2 linked regions of the Bombyx mori genome follow. The protein of the gene in region 1 interacts with the protein of each later gene in a biochemical or structural test. Links are inferred from orthologs where the notes say so. Each region holds a gene or a part of one and is shown in the gene's direction. Other genes may lie near its edges.

Region 1 (3,838 bases):
CATTACTGCTTTCCGGCAGAAATAGGCAGGGTGGTGGTACCTACCCGTGCGGACTCACAAGAGATCATACCACCAGTTTATTATACTCTAGCTTTTATACAAACATTTTGCAAACAACTATAGGATTACAGTTTCATGATTTGCACTTAACATTTTACAAATACATTTTAAGTAACAACGTGATAATTTGTCTTAGTTTTGTTTAAATAATGTAACTAGGAATCACAGCAAAGATCTCGAGTTTCATAAGAAATATTTAAAGAATAACATATTACGGTTAGTAGATTCTTAAGTTGGTAACAGCGTCTCTAGCTGTTACCACGCGCGTCCGGCCACTTTTAGTTGCTATAACATATCCTCAACTTGTATCCCAATAAAACTATCCCATCCCCCCAACTACTAGGCAGTGGCTTGGCTCTGCCCCCGGCATTGCTGAAGGCTATGGGCGACGGTAACCACTCACAATCGGGTGGGCCATGTGCTCGTCTGCCTACAAGGGCATTAAAAAAAATACCCGCTACTTTTCAAAGTTCTTATCCCAATTTCCTCCTGTAAAGTGGTAGGAAGTATGCCTACAAGGGCATTAAAAAAAACCTCTACTTTTCAAAGTTCTTATCCCATTTCCTCCTCTAAAGTGGTAGGGAGTATGCCTACAAGGGCATTAAAAAAAAACCTCTACTTTTCAAAGTTCTTATCCCAATTTCCTCCTCTAAAGTGGTAGGGAGTATTGTCGACCGGCACGGACATGATGGCGTCATCTCCGTCTTACCTATCTCTATCGCGTGCGTTCTATTTTGTAATGAGATTCTTTAAATCGAATTATAAACAACGGTGGGTTGTATAATCACTTCATTCTTTAGTAGCATGCATGCAATGTAATAAGTTTAAGAATAGGCAAATTCTTATGTGTATTTTACTTAATAATTCGCAATTTTTATACAGCACGCTATCACTCTTGCACGATCCAGCACGATACATATTCACAATCTGGCATTTTGTTTTAAAATATTCACATTATTAGATTTTCGATAGAGTTTAATGATAGTTTTTTTTTTATAAATATTAGTTTTATCTACATTATGAAGGGGCATGATTTTACGTACTATATATTTGTGTATTTATTATTTGTATTGTTTCATCCAAAAATGTTGACAGCTCTCTCTATTCTCTATGGTCTTTTGTAAACACTTAAGACCAGATGGTTCGAGAGTTCTTTCATTCGTCTATGCTGTGCCATTGAGAACTTGCAATTTAATTGTGAACAACAAACATAAAACGTTAATAATTAAAGACCCGAAGCTATCATTACACACCAACATTACGCTTAGAAATCAAATATCTTTAAAAAGGGGTGCTAATTCTGAAAAAGAAGCAACAACATCCATAATCATTCAGCCAGAACACTGTCACACACGCGCATGAAGAAAATAAACATGCAATTTCTTTTGTAGCTGATCGAGTATAATAGCGGTAAGATGATACAGTATTACTCAGTGACGGTCGGTGATGCGGTGTTTACTATCCCGACCCGGTACACTGAGCTGGTGGTCAGAGGCGCGGGCGCCCAGGGCATGGTGTGGTAAGCCGCGCCAATACAATGGTCAATCAAACTCCCGCTTCAAGCTTTTGGGACTAATCTGTACTAATTTAAAATTCCCGCGTTAACCAAGCGATGTCCGTATGTGAAACTTTTGCGTGCAACGGATTTATTTTTGTATTTTTGTGATTTTATTGGTATTAAAATGTTGTTCTTAAGAAATTCGATGGTGGACGAAATTCACGATTGGTGTCCATTGTTTCGGTTTATTGGATGGCTGATTAATAATGTTGAAAAAGGATCGTTCTGGAATAAAGCTAACGAGTGAGTGTGATGTTTAATTCCCGCTCTTGTCACTTTTTTCAAAATGGCCGTTTTCTGTTTTTGATTTTTTTTGATTGACATACGAGTTTTCAGTATTGCACATTTATCATCTGTATCATAAATAGTATTAAAACATCGTTTTGATTTTTATGTATTGAACAGGTAAATTTTTGGTACTACATACTTTCGTCATTACATTAATATGCATGGCTTTATCTTAATAATTTTCAAACTGCGTTTTTTTTAATAGCCGGTTTTTTAATAGGTTTATTTATAAATATTGTATTTATTATTATTAATAAGTTTATTACTCTAATTCTTTATGTTCATGTGTGTGTATAAACAGGTAAATTATTCACTAAAAAACCATAAACAATTCTTAACTCATTACGGCGGCAATTAAAATAAACTATTGGTATTTGATTTTTCGTTTAAATGAACTTTACCACAACCTTTTTCACTCCGCTCCACGCTGAAGAAGAAACTGAATTTATAATATGAAATGATTGCTCATCGATTTCTAAGTGTTAATAAAAAATTAATAAAATTTAAAGCTAAACTGTTTGATTTTGTATTCCAGTGCCGCATACGACACGGTGACGCAACAGAATGTTGCCATAAAGAAGTTGTCGCGTCCGTTTCAGAACGTGACGCACGCGAAAAGAGCTTACAGGGAGTTCAAACTTATGAAACTTGTCAACCATAAAAATGTAAGCTTGGTTATTTTTTATTTGCCTAAAAAGGTGGTCGGCAACCCGCGGCCCTTTGATACAACAGCTATGACTCTTTCGCGAAATATTTAGTGTAGGCACAAAATATTGCTTACTATCTTGCCTTGTAAAGAGTAAAATTTTTTTAAACAAAAGGCTATAGAAATATATCGAGGGGTGAAAGAACATTTGGTTTTAGCGAAATTTCGCTTAATACGCGAAATTTATTTTCGTAATTAAAGGTGCTTTTTATTTGGTATTAACGTTGATTATTATTATTGTTCGACGTTTTAATTGAACTTCAATTAAGTTTACTCCATTCAAAGAGTTGAAGAAGTTTTTTTTTCGTAATATATTTTTCAAAATGATAACCTTTTAATGGCTCTCTTGTAAAGTTCAAAAAATTTCGCTTAAACCAAATAACCCTTCACCCCTCGATAATATGTTCTAAAAAATGGCACCTTAAATAAAATCCAATTACGTGCTATCTATATTTGGCTTCTGCTTGTCGACCCCTGGCCTAAGAGATTCTTGTCAACGACTTGACAATGCAGCCGGCATTTAAATTGCAGTTCTTCCATGGCAATAAAGGAATTGCTAGCATGACAATAGAGGTTCAGTATTTAAATTTAATGATGTGCCGTTGTTTGTAGATAATCGGATTGCTAAACGCGTTCACGCCGCAGAAAAGCCTCGAGGAATTCCAAGACGTGTATCTGGTTATGGAGCTGATGGACGCTAATCTGTGCCAAGTCAGTCCTGTATAATTAATTAATTTATTTATTTGTTTATTTATTAGGCTCACAATACATGTCACAAGCTAAAAAGATACATAAAAGACATAAGTAAAACGATAGTAAGTAAGTAAAATTATACGATAAAACAACACGATAACGAAAACTAATCTAACTTATAATGTAAGGATATAATTTTATTCACAATATACAAATAAACAATCATGTTTTTAATAAACTAAAATAACGTTTATAAAGAACCATTTCAAAATATTTTCCATTGTATGCATTGATTTACAAATGTAATTTTTTTTTTTGTTTTTTTTTTTTAAATGTCCTACTTTTTTTGAGAAATATTTTGGCTATTTTTGTAAATTGTATTGAAACAAGTTCGGCACTAAAAGCGTTAAAATGCTAATTGCAGGTGATTCAGATGGATCTGGATCACGAACGGATGAGCTATCTGCTGTACCAGATGCTGTGCGGCATCAAACACTTGCACCTCGCCGGAATCATTCATCGGGTTCGTATTT
Region 2 (2,978 bases), on another chromosome or scaffold:
TGTTTAGAAACAAGTGGAACGCCACGGAAGGAGGACGTGTGTTAATCGTAGGAAAAAGTTATAAAGTTCGCGTAGTGAGTTCAGTGATACCGAAGCGTTCGGTGCAAACACATGGTTCGGAATTCCGGCCACAGCATGGAGACCACCTTCTATGACGAGCAATATCCTCTCAGCGGCCCTGTGGAAAACCTTAAAAGGCCCCTAACCTTGGATGTTGGGCGGGGTGGGAAACGTTCACGAATCGCTGCACCCGTTCTCTCCTCGCCAGATTTACAAATGTTGAAGCTCGGATCTCCTGAGTTGGAAAAATTGATCATTCAAAACGGTATGGTGACAACCGCTACCCCTACTCCGGGAGCGCCTGTCTTATTTCCCGCAGTAGCACCTACGGAGGAACAAGAAATGTACGCGCGACCTTTCGTCGAAGCGCTAGACAAGCTGCACCACGGCGAGGCAGTGACGCCGCTCGGACGTCGAGTATATGCCGATTTGGACAGGCCGCTAGAGCGATACCCCACTCCCATCGTGAAGGATGAGCCCCAGACGGTGCCGAGCGCGGCCAGCACGCCGCCGCTATCACCCATCGACATGGACACTCAGGAAAAGATCAAACTGGAGAGAAAGAGACAGAGGAATCGGGTAGCCGCTTCCAAATGTAGACGACGTAAGCTGGAACGTATTTCAAAGCTGGAAGAGAAAGTGAAAATTCTTAAAGGTGAAAATGCTGAACTAGCACAGATGGTGGTGAAACTAAGGGACCACGTGCACAGGCTAAAGGAGCAGGTCCTAGAGCATGCGAATGGTGGCTGCCACATCGAGTCGCACTTCTGATCGCGTCGCCATCGCCGCTCCTCCACATTCCATGCTAGTCGCGCCCGCTAGGACGCAGCATACAAAGCGATTTGTGATCTTAATTTTACTGTGTAATATATAGTTAATGAACCCTAGTGTGTAAGGTGTTAAAGTCGCTACGTTAAAGAATGCTGTGGATTTCTGGTTAAGTTTGAGAGATTAGGTTTGCCAGTGGTGTTATGCAGAGAACCGTCGATTGCGGACACTATTGTAATTATTGTTGTATGAGAATAGTTATGTCGGTGATATTGCAAATATTTAAAAGGAAGGATGTACTTAGCGCAAGTCACAACTTGGAAAGCCTTAGCTTCTGTCGTAAGTTGCAAGATTCGTTTTCATCGTATCAGTATTGAGTTGTCTCATTTTACTTAGAATAGTGTAGAAACTAGAAAGGATAATCTTGCGACGTCATTTACAGACTAAACGAGGTTGATGCGACGTTGCCAGTTTTACGTTTATTTCCCCGTTTCAACGATATTGCTGTTCTCCTTTGTTGCATTTGTTTTGCTATTGTCTATTGTGTAGCCATTTTTATAAATAGACTTAATTTTAATAATAAAATCTCATTTTGGCTGTAATTTGTACATTAGACAAAGAACACTGTGACAGGCATCGACAGGACCAAAATTTAATACGAGTAAAGGAGATAGCATGGCGTAAAACTGGCACCGGCGCATCCAGCGAAGTCACGAGCGGATGTTCTGCTAATTAAAATTCCGCCTGTGCCGCCCTCGCGGAATGGCGGCCATGTGTTCAACAATCGGACGTTCCGAATCACGTTTTGTTGCACAAGGTTAGCTTTTTACCGCTGCAGTAGTGCAGTATCTTAGGCACTGGCGCGAAATGGAACGTTGTCGATCGTCACGCTTGAATTGTTTGAAGACAAATTGCGCGCTTGTGTGCGAGACTGATTGAATGTGTGCCTTGCTTGTAGTACGTACGAGAGAGCGCAATGTATTTTTTTCTGATAGGAAAGATGATTTCACGGAACTGAACCGGTGCTGTATTGTAGAGGACGTGACTTGTAATCTAAAGCCGTCCGTATAAAAACTTATTTTGTGAGAGTTTTCGTATTGTGTGATGTATGTATGCAACAGAGATTAGACAGAGCGAATGTGTGATGTAAGTATTTATTGGTAAGAATGAGAATGTTTTAATGAATTAGGATGAAGTAGCAATCTCGAGTGCCTACGCTTTGTAAACTAAAGCTATACCTACATATGTTTATTGTTTTTGTTACCATTGTGTGCTACAAGAAATTGTACTGTACCATTGTCTTGTGTAAGTAATTTAAGTAATTATAAAAGCAATTAAAAACGTTGGATTGTTATAGTTTATAGTGCAGGATGAGGTGCGTCTCTGAGTTTGTTCAGAGTTGCATCTCCTCTTCCTATTTGTATTATTTTTATACAAACAAATTCTTCAGAATGTTAACAATAATTTGTAAGTTTATAAAAAATAAAGAAACAGTTATACTAAAATATATTATATTTCTATGAATTTAACGTAACAATATTGTTTATAAAACGCATTACGTGTATTGTATAAAAAAAAACAATGAAAGAAAAATAAATTATGAGGATTATTATACCATTTAAAATTTATTTCATTTTAAGAATCTCACACTTTCCCTAGTTTTTCCATATATGCCACAAAAATATATATCGAAAGATAAAAAGCATAAAAACAATGTTATTGTGAAGAAAAAACCAAAGTTAGCACGCAATGTAATCGTAAACAAGGAGGCAATATTACGGCATAACAGCTGTTTTGCTGATTCATCAGCATAAAATACGATATTACGTAAGATCTACATGATGCTTGTATTCATAATCGGGACACAATATGTAATATGACATTTGTAACACGTGTGGGGCATTGTAAATAAACAATGTCCTAAAGTATAAGGTGACATTTCCCTCAAGTGGCAAGTAAATTATCATGTTCCATCACTACATAGTATAAAACAAAGTAGCTTTCTCTGTCCCTATATCTGTCTGTCCCTATGTATGCTTAAATCTTTAAAACTACGCGACGGATTTTGATGCGGTTTTTTTAATAAATAGAGTGATTGAAGAGGAAGGTTTATATGTATAATAACATCCATTAAATAGTGGAGAAATCAA

The links.
Region 2: of the proteins of Jnk (region 1) and transcription factor JunD, one has a biochemical effect on the other in vitro, tested with the Drosophila melanogaster proteins (2 studies listed by BioGRID). The link is inferred for Bombyx mori from reciprocal best matches to the Drosophila melanogaster genes bsk and Jra.

Annotation. Positions count from the first base shown.
Region 1 is NC_085109.1:1,366,667-1,370,504, reverse strand, and holds part of Jnk (c-Jun NH2-terminal kinase), read left to right. Parts: intron 1-1,451; coding exon of another isoform or gene 1,452-1,579; intron 1,580-2,441; coding exon 2,442-2,571; intron 2,572-3,224; coding exon 3,225-3,323; intron 3,324-3,729; coding exon 3,730-3,828; intron 3,829-3,838. UniProt on the Drosophila melanogaster protein: Mitogen-activated protein kinase and key component of the c-Jun N-terminal kinase (JNK) pathway which phosphorylate and activate transcription factors involved in a wide range of biological processes including response to various stresses, cellular proliferation, differentiation and migration, and regulation of cell shape.
Region 2 is NC_085125.1:13,168,804-13,171,781, reverse strand, and holds the end of transcription factor JunD, read left to right. Parts: 5' UTR 1-111; coding exon 112-831; 3' UTR 832-2,452; downstream 2,453-2,978.